Linked DNA regions of Oryzias latipes. Each later gene encodes a partner of the first gene's protein in a complex. Links are inferred from orthologs where the notes say so. Each region holds a gene or a part of one and is shown on either strand. Other genes may lie near its edges.

The links.
Region 2: the proteins of gtf2f1 (region 1) and ctdp1 are in contact, whole or in part, in an NMR structure (PDB 1ONV), measured with the Homo sapiens proteins. The link is inferred for Oryzias latipes from reciprocal best matches to the Homo sapiens genes GTF2F1 and CTDP1. Residues at the interface, in NP_002087.2 of Homo sapiens: Thr470, Lys471, Leu474, Gln478, Ser486, Thr489, Val490, Leu493, Ala494, Leu497, Lys498, Leu500, Asn501, Pro502, Arg504, Met511, Phe513; in NP_004706.3 of Homo sapiens: Ala946, Asp947, Met949, Ala950, Lys951, Ala952, Leu953, Glu954, Glu956, Leu957, Asp959, Leu960, Met961.
Region 3: gtf2f1 (region 1) and polr2j share a complex: the UniProt entries of both Homo sapiens proteins name them as parts of the TBP-based Pol II pre-initiation complex. The link is inferred for Oryzias latipes from reciprocal best matches to the Homo sapiens genes GTF2F1 and POLR2J.
Region 4: gtf2f1 (region 1) and gtf2a1 share a complex: the UniProt entries of both Homo sapiens proteins name them as parts of the TBP-based Pol II pre-initiation complex. The link is inferred for Oryzias latipes from reciprocal best matches to the Homo sapiens genes GTF2F1 and GTF2A1.

The regions. Positions count from the first base shown.
Region 1 is NC_019866.2:14,105,228-14,111,872, forward strand, and holds the start of gtf2f1 (general transcription factor IIF subunit 1), read left to right. Parts: upstream 1-2,453; 5' UTR 2,454-2,720; intron 2,721-2,946; 5' UTR 2,947-2,991; coding exon 2,992-3,003; intron 3,004-3,304; coding exon 3,305-3,351; intron 3,352-3,530; coding exon 3,531-3,603; intron 3,604-3,943; coding exon 3,944-4,137; intron 4,138-4,453; coding exon 4,454-4,624; intron 4,625-4,695; coding exon 4,696-4,901; intron 4,902-5,013; coding exon 5,014-5,164; intron 5,165-5,327; coding exon 5,328-5,383; intron 5,384-5,482; coding exon 5,483-5,614; intron 5,615-5,695; coding exon 5,696-5,769; intron 5,770-6,134; coding exon 6,135-6,276; intron 6,277-6,390; coding exon 6,391-6,529; intron 6,530-6,645. UniProt on the Homo sapiens protein: TFIIF is a general transcription initiation factor that binds to RNA polymerase II and helps to recruit it to the initiation complex in collaboration with TFIIB. It promotes transcription elongation.
Region 2 is NC_019869.2:25,070,385-25,076,355, reverse strand, and holds part of ctdp1 (RNA polymerase II subunit A C-terminal domain phosphatase), read right to left. Parts: intron 5,950-5,971; coding exon 5,866-5,949; intron 5,061-5,865; coding exon 4,967-5,060; intron 4,758-4,966; coding exon 4,629-4,757; intron 3,689-4,628; coding exon 3,538-3,688; intron 2,967-3,537; coding exon 2,876-2,966; intron 2,127-2,875; coding exon 1,960-2,126; intron 1-1,959. UniProt on the Homo sapiens protein: Processively dephosphorylates 'Ser-2' and 'Ser-5' of the heptad repeats YSPTSPS in the C-terminal domain of the largest RNA polymerase II subunit. This promotes the activity of RNA polymerase II.
Region 3 is NC_019863.2:18,094,147-18,099,773, reverse strand, and holds polr2j (DNA-directed RNA polymerase II subunit RPB11-a), read left to right. Parts: upstream 1-2,306; 5' UTR 2,307-2,346; coding exon 2,347-2,561; intron 2,562-2,872; coding exon 2,873-2,981; intron 2,982-3,364; coding exon 3,365-3,466; 3' UTR 3,467-3,542; downstream 3,543-5,627. Other genes in the region: dnttip1 (deoxynucleotidyltransferase terminal-interacting protein 1), read right to left, coding at 3,850-3,958, 4,725-4,780, 5,155-5,226, 5,298-5,358. UniProt on the Homo sapiens protein: Core component of RNA polymerase II (Pol II), a DNA-dependent RNA polymerase which synthesizes mRNA precursors and many functional non-coding RNAs using the four ribonucleoside triphosphates as substrates.
Region 4 is NC_019882.2:4,166,348-4,171,939, reverse strand, and holds the end of gtf2a1 (transcription initiation factor IIA subunit 1), read left to right. Parts: coding exon 1-6; intron 7-97; coding exon 98-162; intron 163-583; coding exon 584-659; intron 660-735; coding exon 736-857; intron 858-951; coding exon 952-1,056; intron 1,057-1,156; coding exon 1,157-1,438; intron 1,439-2,429; coding exon 2,430-2,519; intron 2,520-3,034; coding exon 3,035-3,142; 3' UTR 3,143-3,728; downstream 3,729-5,592. UniProt on the Homo sapiens protein: TFIIA is a component of the transcription machinery of RNA polymerase II and plays an important role in transcriptional activation. TFIIA in a complex with TBP mediates transcriptional activity.

The DNA.
Region 1 (6,645 bases):
GACTCACTACAAAAAGCCCAGGTTCCATTTACTCAAACAGCTGTTGTTTGAAACATTTAAGTTTTAATGGTAATTAAATTTGGTGATGTCTTCATATATATATATATATATATATATATATATATATATATATATATATATATATATATATACACACACATATATATATATATATATATATATATATATATATATATATATATATATATATATATATATATATATATATATATATATTTATTTTTAAGACATTGCACAACATATTCAATTTGTACCTTTTCTAACTTATTAGTTCATGATGGGACAGGCAAATCCTTTTATCACAGACAGGGCCGGCCCTGGTCTTCCGGGGGCCCTAAGCGAGATTTAATTTGTGGGCCCTCTAACTGATCAGCAGCACCAACAAAACGCAACTGTTGTTGTAATATAAATGAGATATATCTAGTGCAGAATGTTGGAAAGAAGTGCCTTCACTGTTGTGCGTGTGTGCACAAATGTATAACTGTCTTTTAAGTAATAATGAAACAATAAGTTTGATTTGGGTTCCATATTGGGTAGATTTGAACTGACCAGCAGCAGCATCAACGTTTTCCCTTTCAACAGAAGATGTGGTGACAGGAGTTTCCTCTGCAGCTAAAAAACAAGAATCATTATACAATAATTAATGATGAAGTTAATAAAATAACTATAGCAGAATACTACTAATAGTTTAGTGGTTCGGTTAAAATCTGTGTGCAGGTTTTTCACAATGTCATGATCTTTTTATATATTTATGAAAAATAGATTGTTTGATTATATATTTGCACAAGATCATATTTATTTATTTATTAAGAACAGTTTAGGGCTCCATACTCTTCAGCCGCTGTTTATGGAAAAAAAGGGGTTATGCAGACACTGTTTTTTAAATTACTTTACATGCCACATGAGGGGATGTGGATGCTGCACCTCCTCCAATACTTTTTGATACTTTTTGAGAGCAGAAGAAAATGTTGGCTGACACGGAACTGTGCAAAACATCCTCATTATGTAGAACCAAAACTGCGAAATACAAATGAGAAAGAAATGTACCTATTTATAAATAATAAATGTGAATAATAATTTGAGTATAAATGGAAATATAAGCATTTATACACTTCTTATTCTATTATTTTGTATGTTCATAATTTTAAAATGAGTACATTTATTTTATTTGTCATTAATAAATTAGAACCTTTATTTCCTACTTGTATTTGGCAGTTTTGATTCTCCATATTCCATGCCAATGCAAGATTTTAAGACACATTGTTGAAAAAGTCAGACTACCAGACTGTCTATAACAGATAAACAGCAGTTTCTATACTGACGTAAACCGGAAAATGCAGAACGCACTAAATATGTGTTAGCAAAACAATTAAACAATACAATAACGTGAGTTAAACATTTATCAGCCATCACCGTTGTCGTTATTTAATCTTCTCTTCGCCGTTTTGGAAGGTCCTGTCTGACCTCATCCAGGAAACTTGGGTATCAGAATTATTTTAGAGTTTTCCATTGGAAATTACAACAAACGGGGTCGTTTATGTGCAAACTTCACCTGTCTTTCTAACTTTACCGAACTTCGGATCAATTAGTATTTTAAATCGCGAATGCACAGAAATACTGGATAATGTAAAAAATATGGCCCCATCATCCTCCAAACTTACCTTGTGATTGATGCTGAAGTTGTTCATCTTTTTTCAGCTCCTGATGGATAAAGTCTCTTTGGCATGAAGTGCTCTTGTTGTCGCTTTGATCAGCGTGACAAAATGAGCTATTTTTTTTTCTTTTCTCAACTTTATTGAAACAAAATGCGCTCGTAAATGCACACTGTGCCAGGCTCAGATGCAGTGATGTTGGCCAATCGTTGCTGAGAGTGGCGTAACGTCATTATTTGGGTTGCCAGATTGGTTCAGGTTTGTTGACAAGGGGGATCATTAAAGTGCAGCCAACTTTCTTTTGCACAACATTCACAGCTATGAAATAGGTTGCCAGATTTGGGTCTTTTTTTTATTTTATTTTTTCGCCACTTCGGGGCCCTGGTGATGTGGGGGCCCTACGCGGCTGCGTAATTCGCGTATAGGGAGGGCCGGCCATGATCACAGATTAATTGTCAAATTGTAAAAATTGTGAATGGCATTTACACTTTCCTTTCCTTACATTCAGGTGCACTCAAGCATAATCGGCTCTTAACACTGTGTTCACAGCCTAATCATTATTTTTTAAAGGAAACAATTAATTTAATTACTTTTTTAAATAATGTTTTACTTTTTTAATAAAGTTTTTATAAATTTTAAACTACATTTCAGGGAAACAAATTTAATTTATATGTTTTTCTTTGTTGGTAAGTCTGTTTTTACTTATTAGTTTGATTTTTTTTTCTTTCATTCCAGTTACTGTCTGCATTTTCAATAGGAACTATTTGTGACGTGCCAAGGTTTCCTGTCGACCGTAAAAAGTGACGGAACGATTACGCTGCAACAACGCGCACCTCACCGGTACACCAGTAGTAGTGTTTTACTCTCGGAGATGCGGGGCTTTTTCTTTTAAAAAAAACAACAACACTATTTTTGTATTTCATTTTCCTTTTATGCATCTTCACTCGGTCTGAAGTTGGACTAAAACGACCATATGAGCTCGTTTATCGTGCTGGAGATCTAATGATCTAATCAGAGCTAACCATTGAAATCTCTACGACCGGGTTGGTGAGACTCAGCATTCATTGTTATTTTCTTTCACAATAAAACCAGTTTTCGGTGATTGTTTGCTTTCGAACATTTGTTTTTTTCTAACCCGTCTATAAAACTAGTTTTGTAATAAACGTAATCATATTTTTACACATTATGAAAATGGCCGACATGATCATGTTGCACTAAACATTAGTGAAATACCTGCTAAAATGTCCTTTCTTTTTCTGTAAACCCTTAATAGCTCCAGTGAAGTGTTGGCAAATCCAGAAGTTGTTGATAAACAATCATGACATCTCTGGTAAGTTCTGACTTTTTTTTAATGATTATTTTTATTATTATTAACATGTAAAATGTTTTCGTTTCATTTAAGCTATTTTAGCCCGGCAGCTTCCGGTTACAGCAGGAAAGAAAACTTTATTAATCTGCGCTACAGAAGACAATGTTACACGAATTTATCAGTGGAGACTAATTGTAAAGCCTGAGTTGCATGCAGGCAAAAACTCATTCAATCAGAAGGTCGCTGATCTTATAGCAAAACCTTTTTTTAATAGAAATTCCACATTATTTGTTTGTTTGTTTGTTTGTTTACCATCTTCCAGGGGGGCAGCAGTGCTTCGACTACAGAATACACAGTGAGAGTCCCCAAGTGAGTAAATGAAAGCAGTAATGTGTTAGTAATGTTGACCATAACACAGAAATGACACCGTTATCCTTTGAAATAGTAATGTTTTGCATCATTCTGCCCTAAATTTGTCAACGTGTTACTTGACTCCGCCTTGCAAAAACAACTCTTTTTATTTTTTTATTTATTTTCTTGCCCCATAGAAATACAAGCAAGAAGTACAACATCATGGCTTTTAATTCTGGAGACAAAGTCAACTGTTCGGCCTGGACACAGGTGGGCTTCATGTCTTCTTTTTTGCTCCAGTAAAGTAAATCTATATTTTAAATTTGGTTATAATTAAAAACAATAAGATCTCTTAAAACATCCTTAGGAATTCAGAAATTTGTGACAAAATACAAGGGAGTACGGATTAATAAAGCAACTGCGTTTTATGACATATGTGGTACTAATGATGTTTTTTTAAATGTATTTTTTGTATTGAAATGTGGTGCCTCTTGGCCAGGTCTCCCTTGGAAACGAGATTTCTAATCTCGATGGGACTTCCCTTGTTTGATAAAAGTTCTAAAAAAAAAAAAGGTATTAAGTTAAATATCCTGCTTTGTCACTCCCCCAGGCTCGCATGGAACGCGACCTGAGTGCTCGGCGAATATATGGCGAGGAGGAGTTACCAGAGGGAGGGGCAGGGAGCGAGTTTGGCAAAAAGCAGCGCGAGGAAGCGCGGCGGAAGAAGTATGGCATTGTGACCAGAGAGTTCAAGGTGGAGGATCAGCCGTGGATTTTAAAGGTCAACGGAAAAGCAGGAAAAAGGTAAAGCGATAAATGTTTCTATTTTTGAAACTTAAGTACATTTTTTTTTTTTAATTTACCTGCAGGCTTTCTTGAAGTTATGACTTTTTTTTCTTCAAATAAAGAAAATCAATAAACCATATTTATTTAACCGTTGTAGAAAATGAGCAAATACGTCTTCGTACTGAGTAAGATTTGGTGTAATCCTCACCAATTTTTAACAAAATCTGTTGGTGTGTTTTTTATTTTTCCTAAAATGTTTATTGCAGCAAGATTCTCCTATGATTCCAGTTCTACAATCTTCAGTCTGGCTATAATATTTGTCTTTCTGCATCAGGTTCAAAGGTATAAAGAAGGGCGGCGTGACAGAAAATGCATCCTACTACATCTTTACGCAGTGTCCTGATGGAGCCTTCGAGGCTTTCCCCGTTCACGGCTGGTACAACTTCACGCCGGTGGCGAAGCACCGAACTCTGACTGCAGAGGAAGCTGAGGAGGAGTGGGGCAGGTTAGCAGAGCAGCAAGCTGGACTTGGAGAATGCCTTTTGTGTTTTAAAAGTCATTTCCTTCTTTGTCCAGGCGGAACAAGGTGGTGAATCACTTCAGCATCATGCTTCAGAGACGCCTCCGGGAACAGGAGCGGGGCGAGGAGGATGACGATGACGCCGACAAACCCGGAAAGAAGAAAAAGAAAGGGGGCGGGAAGGGTGGAGATTTGCGAATTCATGATCTGGATGAAGACCTGGAGATGAGCAGCGACGACAGCGACAACAGCATGGGAGATGGTAAGGATCCATGCAGCAGGCTCCAGAACTGTCAGGGCGCTCAGCCCCTTCCTCCAAACGTCTGTCAGCTCATTTTCCTCACCTGCAGCTTCCGTCTCTTCTTCGTTTGCAGATGGAGAAAACAAAGCAAAGGCAAAGAAAGACAAAGCCAAAGGGAAAGCAAAGAAAAAGAAACAAAAGAGCAATGAGAAGGATGCCCTGGAAGACAGCGATGATGGAGACTATGAGGGTCTAGAGGTGGATTATATGTCAGATGAAAGCAGGTGGGCTCCTCAGCGTATTTACCACATATACATATTAAAGAAAGAACATGTTTTTATTTGGTCTTTTTAGAAGAACAAGTCTGCATTTTTGATTTTCTACGTTCTTTGAATTCAAACTAAAGCTAAATGCGTGACACTTTTAGATCATTTGTTTCCTTTTTAGTTCAGAGGAGGAGCTAACAAAGGAGAAGCCAAACAAACAGGAGGAGCACCCTAAAGGTTTTTGTTTTTACACTAGGAACATTTAGCTGTTTTTTTTTTAAAAAGGACATTTTATAGAGAAATGAACGGCTACCCTGTTGGTTTCTGCTCAAATAGGCATAGATGAGGCATCTGAGAGCGAGGAGGAGAGCGAGGAGGAGAACCAGAATGAAGAAGAAGCAAAGGAGGAAGAAGAGGAGGAGGAAGGAAAGAAGACTCCGGTTCAGGTGGAAAAGAAAAAGAAAAAAGGTATCAGTTATACAAGTTTTTTTTTTTTAAATGATTAGAGGTATCTGAGGGGAAAAAGTCATGTAGGCTCATTTGTCGCAGACAGCAGCGGGGAGTCAGAGACTTCGGACGACAGCGACATTGAGGGAGAGACGGCCTCTGCTCTGTTCATGGCGGTTAGTTTTGTTTTTAGTGTTATTCCTCTTTAAGTATCATGTTTCTTTTCAAAAGGCATCAATTTTTCCAGAAGCAGATTTTACGTTTTTTTGTTCTTGAAGTCTCAATTTCCATGTATTTTGACATGAAACTTGTGACTTTTTATTTTTGAGTCCACATTTGGATTTGCTCAGCTGCAAAGAACCATTGGTCACTTTGGTAAAAGATCAAATCCTTTTGATAAAATGGCAATAAGAAAAAATCTATTTTATGTGCAGTTTTGACCTATAAAAGAAACATTTATTGAACAAAAATAAAGCAAACTGAGGGGGAATCGGATGTTCAGCATGTAAACTTAAAAGCGTCACCCCTCCTCTCTTCTCAGAAGAAGCGCACGCCCCCCAAACGTGCGGCAGGCCGCGGCTCTGCAGGCAGCTCCAGGACCAGCAGCCGTCCAGGGACGCCCTCCATCGACTCCGGCTCCACCTCCAGCACGCTCCGGGCAGCCGCCAGCAAACTAGAGCAAGGCAGGTTTTTGCACTCGGACACGTCTAGGAACGTGACCTCGAACAGGACGACCCGTGTCAGCACAGGTGGGGACTCCTGTTTTGCTGTTGTGATCAAACCTCTGCTTTTTACAGGAAAGAGACCGCCACAGGGTCCTAGTGCCGACTCGCCGGCGGCCAAAAGGCTTAAAATGGAGCCCAGCTCTCAGAGCCCAGGACCCTCAGGGAAGAGTACACCTCAACCTTCATCAGGCAAATCCACCCCTAGTTCAAGGTACTTTTATCCTGCACACCGCCACACGTGCATTCTGAATTTTAACAAATGATTGAGTTGAATTAAAAGAGCATTTTTGTAAAGAAACATGAAATACATTTGTTAGAAATGTGTCT
Region 2 (5,971 bases), on another chromosome or scaffold:
CTTGTGTGCTTTGTTCTCTGAAGGCGCTGGAGAGGAAATCATCTGAGGAGGCGGGGGCTGGAGAAGGAGCGCAGCAAAGTCCTGAAAAAAAACAACTTTGACTTCTCCAACTTTGTACAAACACAAAATTCCACATTTATTCCACTGGTAAACACCAACATTTGGACTGTTTTCAGGATTTATGCTCAACTTGTTTCTGCTTCTCCTTAAAGTCTCACTTTTCTTTGGGGTCTGTTGTAAAAGTGTTCCCAGTGCTCTTCTAATGATGAAAATCCAAAATCCTGTGTTGTTCTCTAGGACACAGTTTCTGCAGAGCGACCGGAGGTCATCAGAAATTCACCTTTGAGTTGTGGACGGGACTGTTGGCATGGAGTAAGCCCGCTTCCATTCCCATCATCCCTTTGTTTCCACTCTATCCCACTACCTTACAGCCCCTCACACCCCCAACCTGACATTAGCAGTTCAACAGAAATGTTTAGCTACATCAGATCTATCCATCCGTTCAGTTCTGATCCAGATTCCAGCTCAGACCAGGAAATCAAAGAGATTCATGGATCTTTTTGTCTGCAGGTGGATGATCAGAATAGAGCAGAGCAGGGAGATTTTGACGTATTTTCTTCGTCACAAATCACATCTTTTTCAAACTGCATTTTTTTCTGCTCCTGATTCACATATATTTGAATAAAGAAAAGCCAGAAATGCAATTTTAAGCTAAATTTTCTTCATATTTGTCCTCCATCATCAGAAAAATGCTTTAAAAAAACACCATTTTCATCAGAGTGGGTCTTTCAAACCAGTTTTTACTTTGAACTCAAGAGACTTTTGAGTTGGACAGATGTTATTGCTCTAGCAGGACTTTTGTGAACTTTGGTCTCACAGGAGTTTATTTGCATAAACCTCTTCTGTGCCTGAGGTTTATTTGCTCTGGTGAACACGTGTTTACTAAAACATAAAAGGATGTTACGTCATGTAGAAAGGGAGGGGGAAACACTGCAAGAGGAACTGGTTGAAGACAACATGGCGGCAATACATCATTAGCCAAAACTGAAGCTCTACGTCTCCCCCCCCACCCCCTTCCCATTTCAGTCTGAGAATATTTGGGGTTTTTTTTGGGTCCAAAACCACAAATTTAATTGGTGACCCTAAGAGTTACGTTTTTTTTCCAGCTTTTAGAGTTAAAACTTTAACACGGGAGACGTCTTTGTCAATCTCTTCTGCGATTAACTTGAATCAGCTGATCTGCAGAGAAAAGAGTCTTTCTGCCAGTAAAGAACAATTCAAACCAGCTTTTCCCACGATCTGCATATAAAGTGTTTCATACTGCCGCAAAGTCGCCTTTCTCTGCAACGGAATACTCTGATTCACTTTAATCGAGTTGAAAAGTTACAGTGAAGTAATGTAAACACTGGTTAAAGCTAAAGCTCCGGTGTAACACTTTTACAATTCTGAACACTTTTGCTTAGATCCTTTTTAAAAAGAAATAAAAGAATGACCCCTTTTGCCCCGTTTTAAGCTCATGCTGCACACTGAGATGCCACAATTCTGAAGTCTTGTAGCATTTCTTTTTCCGGCTAATGATGTTCTGCCACCCCTCTTGTGAGCGACCAGGTCCCCCTCAAACACAGAGCCAATAGAAGACAGCCGCCCCCCCCCAATGAAGAAGCAGCCTGCAGGACATCCACACCTTAAAAACCCAACACCAGAGGTGAGGCTTGAGGACGGTCCGCCTCTAGAGCAGAGAGCACGCAGACTGCAAGCTCCTACGGGTTCAAGTACAAAGCCCGACTTTCGGAGACAAACCGGTCCCCCCCCCCCAGAATGAGCCCTTACTGCAGGCGGGTCAACACCTGTGCCGACTTCAGCCAAATCGCTGATTTGCGGGACAAGGTGAGTTTTTTGGCGACTTGGACGGGTCGAGTTCGTCTTCATCCCGGCTGTGTTGACGGGATGTTCGGGTACCTTTACTGGCCGCCAGCGCTTCCCGAGATCCCGGGGGGGCGTTGATGTCTCCGGCTCCCTGGAAGTAGACGTACTTTTTCACGGTGATGAGGTTCGGAGCAAACTTCCAAACGTCTTCGCGGTCATCGATGATGCAGACCATGGAGTCCCCACAGGGGAAAAGGTACCTGCAAACACACCCTTCCCTCAGAAACAGGCAGCAACTTCAAACACAAACACCTTCCACCTTCACTACGACTGGGAGGAAACGCTAAACAAATGCCTGGGATTATATGATGGAACCCCTTAGAACCAAACACACCCTCCCAGAGAGGGGTAAACATTGCAGGTCTCACTGAATGCAGACAGTTCTGAGCAGACCTTAACCGTTCTAATGAAACCCCATCCTGGTTCTACCACCACCGTGCTTTACGGCTCGGATAGTGTTCTTCCAGCTTTTTCCTTCCAGGCTGAAAGGTGATTCTTAGTCATCTTCATCGGGTCTGAAAGGGTTCTGGATTTGTCCACACATACGTCTTCCGACACAGAGGCTGTTTTACAGCGGCTCCGTTTACATTATACATGCAAATTGCTCCGTTTCATTATTTCTCTGTGATCCCGAATCGATCTTGAGGCTTGTGAAGCCACCTTAAGAGAAATCCTGACATTTCATAAATTAACGGCATGATTGTAGAAAAAAAAAGCGTGAAGATTATTGCTCTGCAGGTTCACCGAGCGGTTTACCCCTTTATACTTGGTACGGGCCAACAGCATGCCCGTGTGTCACAGACAGCCTGCATCTACCAGTAAGGGCAGTAATGACCAGGGCTTAAGGAAGTATGTCGGTCACGTGATCAGTTGCGCCAAACCGTCTCTGAAAATCCCTTTGGTTCTGCTGCAACACAGGAAACTGAACAGCAGAGCGGATGTTCCTCACCTTAGGTTTCCCGTCTTGGAGAACGGATCGATGCATTCATCTCTAGAAAGGATTCTGTGGGAGAAAAGCTTCTTTTCGGGATCCAGAAAACCTAAAAAAAAGAAGAACAGAGAAGTGTTTTTAAAGCTTTACCTTGAGATGTGTTCTACAGAAAACCCTGGGCTGTGGCGTTTATCTGGTTCTTCTCTGGCTTTCCCTCTGTGCCATGAGGTTTTTGGAAAGTCGTCATGCTTTGGGGAGAAATCGGTCAATAAAAGCTGCTCTGATTCTGAAATGTACGGACGCTCTGCATCAGTGAAGGCAAAAATCCAATCCAAATGCATGAAACATTCATCATGAGGCGGCAGAGCGGTGCCAGAACAAAGCTGCTGTCATTATGAATAGTCAAATAAAAGAGTGCAGCATGAATACCAAGAAGATTCCAGAGAAACTCACAGCCTTCAATAAAGCAGTGAAAGGTTTATGAGGAAGAAAGTGCAGCTTTAAAAACTTCATTCAATCATTTGTTTGGAACTTCAGCACCACAGATTGAGAGAGGAGCGAACAGCTCCCTCTAGTGGACGCGTGCGGGAAGTACAGCAACGCTGGTTACGGGGGCTGCACACTCCGTCCGTCACTCAGGTGCATTCATGAGGGCACAGCTCCGCAAAACCTGCGTTTACCAGCAATAGTGTGTGCATAGAGGCGGCTCCCGAACGTGAAGACGTGCAGCTCGTAGAGTTTGGCCGTTTTCTCCAGGAATTCCTTGCAGTGGGGGCGCAGGCGGGTGTGCAGCATGGGCTCGCCCCGGCCCAGCTGGAAGTGGAAAATGCCCTGAAGCAAACACACACAGAGACGTATCAAAGTGAACTTTCTCCTCAACTCAACATTCAGGTTCTAAAAAGACAAAACAAAAACAAGAATGACAACATTAAGGACAGTTTTTCTAGATCCAGTAACTGAAGATGATCTGAATTAACTCAAAAACCAAATCTGATATCTGGGAAACACATTTTCTTAAAGTCAGTTTACAGAGAAAACTTTTAGACTGAACCAAAAACGAGTCCATTCACACAACGACAGATGTGATGTTTGAACTAAAAAGTGGGATTTTAATCCAGAAAGCAAAGAAAAGAAGCCGTCAGGTTTTTAGTCTGACGTTTGTTTACATCTGAGGAAGACCAGGAAAGGCCCTCAGTGATGAAGCTCTCGTCCTCTGAAAGCATCAACCTTCTCCTCAAATGTGACAGATTTATGTTTATTCCCCTGAACAGACATGACATAACATGTCATGTCTGCAAAAGATGTGATTTGTGACATAACAGACTCCTGCAGCAGGTGAAGGTAGAAACACCAACAGGGCCCTGATGGGAACAGGCCCTTCCCTGATGGGAACAGGCCCTTCCCTGATGGGAACAGGCCCTTCCCCTGCAAGGCCTGCTGGGAAACAGGGATGCATTTCTTGGATTATTCTTCACCTTTTAAACATGTTTGGGTTCTATCCAAAGCGACTTACAGATCGAGGCAATGTGGGTTCCTGCCCAAGAGCGTTTGAACCCCCAACCAGCAGCATGAAGTGGTGTAGCTCTGGCAGACTGATTCCCTCAGAAACCCCACATTAGAATCTGACCGGTGACTTTGCAGGCAGAAATCAGAGAAACCCTTCTCCTCCAGAACAAAGCCATTAATTCTGACAGTACCGAGCTTTTTAGAACCCACTTTGTTCCAGGACCTAAAGCCAGGTTTGCCTCCTGGGCTTCGCCTTGAGCTGTACCTTGTTGGACATCTGCTGGCAGTGCTGCTCTGTGGTGTGGATGAGCGTCTGGTCCAGATCCACCATGAGGACCAGCTTCCTGTTCCGGTGCAGCCTCTGCTGGTCCTCTCTGCCCAGCTGCTCGGCTTGCTGCCAAACAAAGGAGAACCCCGCCGGTGAAGCCGAGTATGACAGGCTTATGGGTACATTTTCTCCACCGTTTTCAAACATTCATTTGTAGAAGAACCAGCGTGTGGTCCACTGCAGGAACACTTCTTTAACCTCAGACTGAGAGCTTCGTCTTGGATATGAACTCAGCTTGAAGTGTGGACGCACAGACAGCTGCCATCGTGACTCACCTCAGAGCTGACCATCAGTTCAGGGACACTGTGCACCATGGAGACGGTTGCCGTGGAGATGGGGGTGTGCTGGTTTCCGTTTGTCCCCTGAAGCCTGAGACGAGAGAGAGAGAGAGACCACGCTCAGGTCCTCCAGCAAACTGTCAGAGGAGGTCTGCTATTTGTTTCAGATCCACCACCAAACACACAATCCCAACACTTACACCCCAGCACGGATGGATGCTGACGGAGAAAACAGGAAGTCAGCGTCAACAAATCCACATTTACTCACAGATGTGTACATTTAAGGAGCTAACGAGTGCATTTTTATTGAACTTCACTGTCACTGATGTGGTTTTAACAGCTATGGAAAAAACACAAGATGTCCAGGTAATGTGAATGTCTGCTCATTTAAAACGGTACTCTGGATAATGTAGTTCAAAATCCTTTTACACTCAAAAACTGATTATTTTATCATGTTTTGGTGCAGACGGATAACATGGACTACAAAGACCAATGTAACCTGGTCCAACTCGATACAAACAGAACTTTACCACTGAGAGATTAAAGCGATGCAGAGAAGTGACAGCAGTAGATAAAAAAACCTCAAATTTCAGAAATGAGACACATTTAACAACAAAAGAAAGTGAACATAAATACATTCATCCCAGTAAAATAAAATAAAAACTTAAGAAGGGGCATTGCTAAAAGATTAATTGAAAACTATGTGGACAAAAACAAATAATATGCTGAATCATCATTAGGTGTGAAAGGAAAAAAATAGGCGTTTCAAACAGAAATCCTGGTGTCTGGCGCCCCCTGATGGCGTCATCTGGAATAGCACTCTACACAAACTAAACCTGACAGCTTTTATAAATTAGGCATTATTTACAAAAAAACAGAAGACAGTGTATTCTTACTGAGTCAAATCCTGGCCACATTCGGCGCATAAACCCTTCATGACAACAGGGTGGCTGCATTCTTCGATTCTGACAATGACACCCCTGAAAACAAACAAACACACAA
Region 3 (5,627 bases), on another chromosome or scaffold:
GATCCGAACAGCTTTGATATCGCTCACTATCTGTTAATGGAAGCCTAACCCGCCCCGAGTTTTTAAATTGCATCAGCCAATCGGTGTCCGCCTTTCAAAAGCAAACAGAAAAATGCCAACCAATCACGAGTGAGTATGCTTTAGGAGGCGTGTTGTAATTGGTTCGAAATATACCGGAAATTAACACCCTGAGTACGACGTTTAGTGTTTACGTCAAGAGAAGAGAGAATTTCAAACGAAACGAAAATGAGTTTTGAAATGGGAATTTAAACAAACAAACAAAAACAAAACACGTTTTGATTTGAAATGTCTAATCTTGTGCAACAATCCAAATTTATATATTTTCAATGATTTTGTGTCTTTATTCAGGAAGAACTAGAAATGTTGCCCAATTTCCTTAGTTATACATTTTCCATGAAACTAATTAGTTCCTTTTAATACTAAGTCATATGACTGAAGGAATTTTGCATTAGTCGGTTATTTCCTTTCAAAAACCAGTTAAAATCAGATATTGTTATATGAAAAATATTAAATTTCCTTCCCTTAGGCCTAATTCAGAACTTATGTCCGCTGACAGAATCCAATTTTGTTCTCAGATCTGTACACTGCTGTGAGCCAATTTGAGATTCACATTTAAAACTAGAATGCTTTAGCACTCTCGTCCAATAAATTATTTGCTTTTTACTCAGTAAAAACCTCATGAACATATGATAAAGATGTGAACATTTTCTAATATTACTAAAACATAAATTCACTCGTGTAACTCCATTAGTCGGACTAGGATAAGCCTCGTTCCTCCTCCTCAGCATGTCTGCAGCTCTATTCTCCATCTTCATCTGTAGCCACCACGTGCAGCTGATGGCAGAACCGTCCATGATGAGCACAATTGTATCTAAGGAGAAATTCACCATAAGTAAAAAAAAGAAAGCGTAGTGATCAAAACATAATTAAGATCACCAGAACAGAAGGTGCCAAACTGGGAAAATAAGTTCATTACTGATACATGAACTGAACATGACATTTGAAAGATGCTTCAGTAACAGCTTCATTTAGGCGACAGCTTTTCTCTGAGAAGCAGCTGTTTCTGCGCACAAAATATATGATTGTTCATCTGCAAATCATTTCCTTGTATTGTAGAGAGAAATATGGCCAACGACCAATCAGTTACCTGTTAACATGGACTACATTATGCTATTTTAGAGCCATATCCCTCAGGCTTTGATCCATTTATCCATTTATCTCCTGTACTAACTGAATCCTTTTCGTGGTCACAGGGCTGCTGGAGCCAATCCAGCAACAATTGGGCAAAGGTGGGGTACACCCTGAACAGGTCCCCATTCTGTTGTAGAGCCATACACTCGCATGCACACCTAAGGGACAATTTAAAATACTGGTAATCAATTGACCTACAAAGCATGTTTTTAGACTGTGGGAGGAAGCCAGAGTGCCTGGAGAAAACCCATGCATTTATAAAGAGAACAAACCCCACCTAAATTGACCCCAGGCAGGATTTGAACCAGGGCCATCTTGCTGTACGGCCACTGCTCTACAATGCAGCTCCCTTAGGCTTTCAACTAAAATACAATTTTTTTAAAATTTCACATCACATACTTTAAAGCTGCAGTTAAAGTTTACACCAAAAGTAACAGCCAGGATCCTGGCTCTGAAATTACAGATAAAGAAAGGTTTAGAGACTTTCTTTAAGCCACACAACACAGGCGGATGGACACTGATTAAAGGTTCAGACCACATAAAGTACATAAACATACCATAAACACAACTTAAAACATAAAACTTGTTTAATTTGGATTTTTTTGTTTCTTTTCTGTGTAGCATAAGAAGGGAGTCCATCCATCAGTGGCTGTGCTTTTAATTTGTTGAACAACTAGTGCAGCTTGCATCTCTTGTACTTTAACATTCTCATCTGTTTTTGCACCGGATGTCTGACTGTTTTACATCTACTTTAATTTTAAACTTTTCATTTTAATCCAATCCTATTGTTTTATTTTGTATCGTTATCATGTTTTATGACATGTGCTGCTGACCTCTTGACCAGGTCACATTGCAAAAAGGGATGTTGATCTCAATAGGCTTTTAACCTAGTTATATAAATGTTAATGAAAATAAATAATAAAATTAATAAAAAGTACATTGTTGATTTTCATCATGTTGATCTCGTATTTGTCTTTACTAGTAATTATATCCTTTTACTCAGAACAGCTACTTGTTCCCAACCCAAACTTTTTTTAGGAGACAATGGAGGCATGGCTTTGACTGCTGCTGTAAAAGAAACAAAGAACCAATTTCATATACCTACCAGGAGAGGGCGCTCCACTCGGAATCTGGATGTGTGTTCCGAGCGGAAGTTCTATATCAAGACTTCCGGTGTGTTCCCAGCGCACTGAGTCGCGCGGAAAGATGAACGCGCCTCCTGCTTTCGAGTCATTCCTTCTATTTGAAGGAGAGAAAAAAATCAGCATCAGTAAGGACACGAAAGTGCCGAACGCATGTCTGTTCACGCTCAATAAGGAGGACCACACGCTGGGAAACATCATCCGAGCGTAAGAACCGCGCATGCACAAACAGACAGACTGTCACAGAGCTAACAGTCTCTGGATGGATAGATTATAGAAGAAGAAGCCAGTTTCTGACTGGTTCTGTTAGCCCCGCTTATCATTCCTTGACGTTTTGGTTAGCTAATAAGGAGTGTTATTGTGTGACCTTTGTGTTTAATTTCCAAGACTTACATGTATAAACGAGAGTGACGCGCATGAATTTCATGCTCAATTTTCATGATGAAAACACAGTCCGTCTATGATCTATCTATGCAGCAGGGTTGTCACATATTTTTTCTCCTGTGTGTCACTGTCAGTCAGCTGCTGAAGGATCCTCAGGTTTTGTTTGCTGGTTATAAGGTTCCCCATCCCCTGGAACATAAAATCGTCATCCGAGTGCAGACCACCCCTGACTACAGTCCACAGGTAAGGCAAAGACCCAGCGTGTAAACACAAACGGTCTTATGCAGCTTTTTTCTTTGACACACTTCTTGTTTCGATTCAGTGCAAATCAGTTATGATTCAATTTTTTTGTTGATTTATTTTTACAGGCTGTATTAGATTATGAGAGCTTTTAGTGATTTAAACATTTGACAAAATTGGAGTTGTCATTCCAAAAAAATATTCTTAGAACTGCAGCAAACACCTTTTCAAAAATGACAGGAATATTGAGGTTATAAATTCCTACCTATAGAATTGTTTTCAGAGTCAAATGTTTTTGAAGTTTGTCATTTTTCATGTGTGCTTGTTTGTCATTGCTGACAGGGACTGAGGTGGTATTTCATTAAAGGAAATTGTCTTTTCAACAGGAAGCCTTCACAAACGCCATCACTGACTTGATTAGTGAGCTGTCGCTGCTGGAGGAACGCTTCAGGGTCGCCATCAAAGACAAACAAGAAGGCATTGAGTGATTTAAGCCCATCACAAAATTTCCTGTTTATCTTCATTTCTGTTGTTTTTTCTAAATAAATGTGATGCCACTCCCTGTTTTGTGAGAGACTTGATATTGAGCATCAGCTGAGATGACTCTCACAAGGAAACGGTTTGATCTTTTGGGGTCAGAATTCTTGTGTGAAAGTAGCTGCAACACAAAGCTGCATCTGATCCAGCTGATCAGTATGATGACAGGAACCTCCAAGGATCACTTTCATTCAGAAACCAAGGATTTGCTTCTCTCCGCTCAAACATTGTCAAATGAAAAAGACAAGATGGCAAAGCAACACTTTTATTGAGATTTTATAAAAACAGCATAGAATTGGGGGGGAGAGGGGTGAGGGGCATGATCGTTGTGAGGTCAGGGGTCAACATTTTTCTGCACCTCCATGGCTTGCTGCATCTTCTCCACCATCCAAATTGGAACGGTGAACGGCTTCAGCTCGTCCATTCTCACTTCAGGAGACTCTCTGCACACACACACACACATCTGTACCCATGGCAATCACAGCAACAACGGAAAAGCTAGAGCCGCCAATGACAGCCATTCTACATTTCAGTGTTAAAGGGTCTAGTATTGTGATCAAAACTTAAATGCGTTTCAGGGTGAAGTCACTCAAACTACACAATCTGCTGAAGCAACAGTAAAAACCGAAAATGTCTGCAGGTTCTGATCCATGAAGCTGAGGGTGTTCCTTCAGAGCGTTTTTGTTTTATTAAACATTTGAGATTTTAAAATATCTTTACTATCCAATGATGTGAGCTTGCTAAAGAAGAGCATTCTTCAGTTTTCATGCATTTTACATCGTGGTTTTAGAAAAAGGCTTCATAAATTGTGTTGCATGCTTTCATATCTGCTCTCGGGTTTAAAATATTTTCACTCTAATATTGTGAGAAAATGTATACTGAAAAGAAACTATTCTAAACATGATGAATGGAGATTACAAAGAAACTCTTTTTGCTCTATCCTTCCACTCATTTTTTCCCCCAAACATCTCAGTTTACAGTCTTAGCTGCTCAACCTGTAATTATAAACAATCAAACTTAAACTGCAAAGACTTGTGGGATAAGATGACCTCAACCTGAAGAATGATAACGCAGCGGTTCCTACTACAAAAGAGGAAGTAAAGCAAGGGAGTTTCTTTTCTCTACAGTGTAATTTTCTTCATTATGGTCCAAGCTGTCAGGCAGAATCCCTACAAACCTAAAGTTCAGGTGCTGTGATGTCACACTCACCTGTACTCATCACTGCAAGACAGCTCTTGGATGTCCTCTTCAACCAACAGGTAGGCCTAAGTGCACACAAACATCATCCCATCAGTCAACTCGCTGCAGTTGTTCAGGATTCCTGTCATGAATGGTCAGAGTGTAGCCTTCTCAAAACGACAATTGCAGTACAGAAAAATGTGGGATATAAATAATCTGGGATTTAAACCTCAACTGGTTAGCAGAAAGGCTACTCAACCCATCTCCCTTATGGCATAAGCAGCCATTGATAATGAACATTGACACAGTGAAATGTTTTAATCCCTTCTCTACAAGAAAACGTATTTAAAAGCATAACTTGCTGTCTGCACAGACACCCTTTAGTATCTCTGGTGTTTTAATAATCTGTGGCAGCAGGTGGCGCTGCAGTCATACATCTGTGTGGTGCTGGGTTTCTCACCATCTTGCCCCCTGTGGCTCTCATGTGGTGTCTTTCTGCCAGCCACTGCTTGTCCTTGGAGTCTGCAGCATACTAACGCACAGAGAATAACAGTTACATCACTTCCTGTCTGTTCTGGTCAAAGACAAAGGACAGCTCGTTACCTTAAACAGGTCCGCATGTTTGATGTAAATCCGTCCTCTGGTCCCGCCCATCCCGAGAGCTCTGCAGTGACATCAGCAGTGTTACTTCAGGAAGACACGTCACTGTCACATGGCGGCCCGACTCATGAACCATCACCAGAGCAGCTTAACCTCCAACACCAACCAGGTCATGGCTGCTGGTGGTGAGATGCTCCGCCCCATGAAACAAACCTCCACCTTAACGGTCCAGTTCACTATCCACAATGGAACCACCTCTGGGTGTCAACAGACACTCGTACCCCCCTGCTGCTTTTGCCTGCACTTTAACACCTTAGTAAAATAATAATTACT
Region 4 (5,592 bases), on another chromosome or scaffold:
AACAAGGCGAGTCCGCACGTTGACATACAAACGTCGCCTGGACGTGTGTTGTTTTTTTTTTTTTTCAACCTGAAATAATGTGTTTTATTCTCAACAGCTCCCCAGCAGCAGGTCATAGTTCAGGACTCTAAAATGATACAGCACATGAATTCAACGGGAATGGTGAGTAGCATCTTACAAGCTGAAAACTGCACCGCCACACTTGAGAACCAAAAATTCTCCCAAACGTCCCGTTTTGTCATCGCACAAATCCACCCGGGGAATATCTGGGATAGTATCAAGGAAGCGACGGTTAGGAAAACTAGCCGGGCTGTGGGTTTTGGGAGAGGACTTTTTTTCTCAACAAGGACCTGGAGAACAAAACCGAGAAAGGGAAAAGCTTTCTTGTGGGGAGGCCATCTGTCTTTTTGAGCTTGAAACCTAGCCGCCGCTATAGCTTTTCCTTAAGTGATGGACCATGTTTGAAACCTTTAAGGCTTAAATGAAAAGAAAAAAGAAGATTTTTTCTTTTTTTATCACCTAGAAAATCCACCTTTTTGTGCTCTGGTATAATTGGAGCGGCTTTCTGTGTTTCCTCCTGCAGACCGCAGCAGCCACTGCAGCAACCCTTGCTTTGCCCACAGGGGTCACCCCCTACCAACAGCTCATCACAAGCCAAGGTAAAGCTCTCACCGTTCCTTTGGACTTTAGCGTGGTTGGATCTCAAAACGTTTTTTTGTTTTCCTGTTGATGCAGGTCAGCTCCTGCAGGTGGTCCGGGCTCCCAACGGGACTCAGTACATCATCCAGCCTCAGCAGCAGATCGTCCTGCAGAATCAGATGCAGCCTGGCGGCGTGCAGGCCCCCATTATACAGCAGGTACAGTCCATGTGTGAGGTCATCCTTTTGAGCATGAAACCAGTCTGGGAATTGATTTCTGAAAACTTGGAGTCCTTTTCTTGCAAACGTGCAGGTTTTAGCTCCTCTGCAGGGTGGACTGCCCCAGCAAGCAGGAGTCATCATTCAGCCGCAGCAGATCGTTTTGGCTCCAGGGAATAAAGTTCAAGGGACCACACAGGTCAGAGCACCAATTAATGTTTTCCCAATTATTATTTTTTTTGTGGGATGTTGCTCTAGGTTTACGTAATGACTCTGCTCTCATCTCTGGCTGCCGCCAGGTGATGCAAGCAGCAGCGATGGCGCCGCAGCCCGGCCAGGCAGCAGCAGCTCAGGTCCAGCAGGGGGCAGCTGTGGCCGCTGCTCAGGCCCCAGCCCAGCCGGCAGCCCCGCAGCAGCAGCCTCAGGCCCAACCGCAGGCGCAGCAGCCCGCCATGATGGTGCAGCTGGATGGAACTGGAGACTCGTCCTCTGATGAAGACGAGGACGAAGAGGAGGAATACGACGAAGATGACGAAGAGGAGAAAGATAAAACCGGTGGGGAAGACGGGCAAGTTGAAGAGGTGAGTGTTGAGCCAGTCCAGGGTTTATGGTGTTTTTAACATGTTGTTGTGGCATTTATAACGGAAATTAAGCTTCTAATTGTATTTCTGAGCATTTCACAGATGATTCCTGTCATAATTTGTGATCCCCAAGACGATTAAAAGTCTATTTATTCAGTTTGAACGATCCAGTTCGCTGATCTAAAACAGATCCATCTTTAGCCAAAACTTCCACTAGTGTGACTTACCTGAGTACTGAACAATACCTGAGTACTGAACGGCACCTGGGTACTGATATTTGAGTGTAAATTAAATGTGTACAAACATGTAAACAACAGTTGATTTCAAATCAGATTACATTTTAGTTTCTTAAAGTTTGGACCACTAATGTTTTTCCACATCCAGGTAATCCAAAGGGAACATTCTAGCACACTGGATGGTCACATGACTTTGCTAAATTGAGTGTTTCCACTCATTGGACCGGAATGATGGAACCGATCGTTTTTTGCTGACATCATGTCTATGTGATGGTCGTTTTTTACATTGTAGTGAAATAAACCTGCCAAGTCTCAATCCAAATGGTATTTTCTAAGATTGAGTATTCATTTCATTTTGAAACATTTTTTTATGGTGTAGGGCGTTTCAATGAACAACTTGCCTCGAAGAGATAAACCTGGATGGATCTTAAGATAAACCTATTAAATTGATCGTTTTAATCGACCAACAACTGCGGTTTAAAAAGATCGTATTTGTGACGTAGATAATACCTCGAGCTTCCTGCTCCAAGTCCTCTGCTGTGGGATGAGGTCGCTCCACGTCACTGATCCCGCCCACAACTCGGAGGCAAATTTCTAATGAACTTTTGCCGCCCTGCAAATTTTTTTTTTTTTTTTGGGGGGGGGGGGTTAAAAGCTGCGTAATAATTTTTAAAAGACCACTGGGAACGCTTTGAAAATCGATCAAAAGATGATTGGAGTGGATCTTTGAAGTCTTTGGGTTTTTTGGTCACCAGGAGCCTCTGAACAGTGGAGATGATGTCAGTGATGATGAAAACCAGGAGCTGTTCGACACGGAGAATGTCGTGGTGTGCCAGTATGACAAGGTAGGAGATGAGCGTCAAGCTACGTTCACGTTTAGCCATCGGTGTTCACACTGGACTGTCGCTACCGGTGCACGCACTCACCGTTGGAAGAGGCTTGGTCTGAAATGTTGAAGCAGTGCAAATCTTTGCCCCAGGCCTTTTTCCTTCAGTCTGATGTATGAAAGACTTGATGTGACGTCATTCTAGCCGAGCACAAGCCACAGTTATTGATTACTCCCTCATAATCAATTAATCAAAGGGTTGGCACTTCCATGTTTTGAAAAGGACGCCATCCATACGTCCCTACTAAAGCAGAGTCAATTGGTTGAACGTTCAGCGTGCGTTCAATTGTTTCCTTGACTTAAAAACGTGTAGCGACCCGTGAATGTGACAGTTTTGACCGCGGAAGCCCAAAAGGGTTACTTAGACTTTTTCAATGGAAGTGATCGGCGGTGTAGCATCAGGGTAAGCTCCAGCAGCATCCCTCTGTTCTGAACTCTCCCATTCTTCTCCTCCTCCTCTTCCTCGCTCCTCAGATCCACAGAAGTAAGAACAAATGGAAGTTCCACCTGAAAGACGGGATAATGAACCTGAACGGCAGAGATTATGTCTTTTCCAAATCCATCGGAGACGCCGAGTGGTGAGGCGGGGGAGACGGGCGAAGCACGAACTCCTAACTTGTTTTTATCCAGCAAACTGATACTTCAGCGTCCTTTCACATCCTGCGTCCGAACTCCTTCAGGAAGGTAAAGCGAGAGTCTTTGAGAACTCATCCAACCCAAAGGATTGCTGTAAGACATGACACGTGGAAAAACACTCGACCAGCGTTTACGGGATGAGAAACCGACAGGACACTGGAGAGCCTGTGAACAGAGCTTTTTTGGTTTATTTTTCCCTTTAAGGCTTCTGCCTTCTTCTGACAAAATTCCCCCAAAACAGTCATTTCATGTCGTACAGGTGTTGCGGACCAGAAGGAACTCTGCGGTCTCTCATAACCCGATAGACACACATTTTTAATGCACTGTAATCGGTCGACTGGATTCATGGAAGTCCAAACTTAGTGCCACCAGTCAGAACCGCTGCCTTTTAGAATGACTCAGCTTTTTTTTTTGGTTGTAGTTTTGTTTCCATGTGAAAAATGAAAAATGGTGCTCCAAATTGTTTTATGTAGTCCAATCTTTTTAAAAAATTATCTTTTAGCGTCAGATCCGAGGCTCCTGGGAAAAACAAGGTACAAAAACAATCTTCAAAAATCAATTTTAATCCACAGATGTTTAACCCCGTTTTGCTGGAGCTTCATTCCATCTTTTTTTTTTTTTTTCAAAAAGCCCCAAAGTTCATTTTGGGATTGCATAGAAGATGTGAGGCTGCCACGCCGGTGTATCTCCGCTCTTCCTTTAGTCAGCTGCAGCCGTGGGAGGACTTGCACTGTGGGTTTATCGACGTCCGTGAGCTCAGTCAGTCCAGGAAATCCATAGCAGCATCAGCAGCAGCGAGGTCTCTTCTGTTCATTTGTGTGTGAGACGCGGATCGACGGTGCAGGCGTGCGATAGCTGCAACATACGTCTTTCTTTTGCACACCTTGCAGTCTCAAAATGCCAGTCACACTAGAGAAGGGGAGGGGTGCGCATCATCTATTTATTGTTAAAAGTTCACGGGACGTTCTTGGAAAGATCTGAAAGCCGCACCAAACTGTGCTCTTATTATCCAGTAAGTGTTCCTTTTTAGTTTTCTTCTTCAGCTGGACAAGCGCTACATAAATGTTTTTCTGTCTTATTTTACGCTAAACTTTTTTTTTTTGTATCAAAGGTGAGTTTAACTGGAGGGGGGGGGGGGGGGGGGGGCTGTGTGTTTGTTTCTGCAGTTTGACTCGGTTCCCCCTTTCCAGCAATCTGAAATAAAGCCTGTTTTTTTTGACTGTCCTGTCCGTTGGGTTGTACATTTCTAAAAAAGAAAACACAAATTAAAAATAAATAAAAAAGTAGCCACATCTGCACCATGACTATAAAATAACAACATGCACACGGATCAATAGGGCTTTTCTTTTCACCTCTGAATCAGCCTGTGAAATCTTTGGTTCTGCACATTTTCTGTATATTCCCATTTCTCTGGATGTCGTCTGTGCCTTTTTTTAAACTTGAGTTCTGTTTGGGTTTTCTTGTGTCTTACCCACAACTAATGGAAGGATGTCCATGGAAACTGTATTCTTTATGTTTTAACTGCTGTTGAGATATTTAAAGAAATGTAATTTCATTTAATTTTTCCTAAATTAAAAAATGTTTGCAACAAAATAAAGGCTCCTGCTTTGAATTTCCAGCTAAAAAGGGAGTTTTAATGGGCTGGAAGTACTTTATTGGAGCTCAGAATTTGAATAATTCCTGCTAATTTGGTTTCTTTGCCTTTAGCCAGTTCAGATGTTTGTCTGTTATTTATTTTTTTTAACTAAAATGCATGCTTTGTTTTCCAGGTATCCATTTTTTTACTCTGCTATGCTCCCCCAGTCTGTCTTTTCATTGCTTAAAGTTATTTAATGATCTCCTTTACCTCTTAAAAACCCATTCTGATGAAAATCACGGTAACATGTTCTTGTGGCATTTTTCTGACAATGCAAGACGTATATTGAGAAAATTAAGCTCATAATTTGAGTATTTCTGATTCCCAGATGGAGAAGTGGATGAAAAAATGCAGTTTAAAAAAGAAAAGTGTATTTGTGACGTAGAAAATACATGGGGCGGGGCCCAAACTCTGCACTCTGCTTCATTCTTGTGGGCATCCATGTACATCTTGGTTTTCCTCGTCTGAATGGCAGTAAAGTTAAGCTACAGCATTCTTGAAAGTGTCTTTAGCCCAAGGTGTTCACACTGGACAAGCAGGGAGGGGCTATCTTTTCCTACTGCTTACTGGCACGTTGGAAGAGGTTTGACTTTTCATTCGAAGTGAGCGCTTCAACGTATTGCTGACTGGAGTGTGAAGGTGAAGGTTGGGGTTGTGACGGGGCAGTGAGCTAGCAGGGAATCCTGTAAACGGAGAGCTCTCGGCATCGAAGGGGAGCGGTGTTGCTCCACAGCAACAACCCCCTTCACAACTTAGGAGG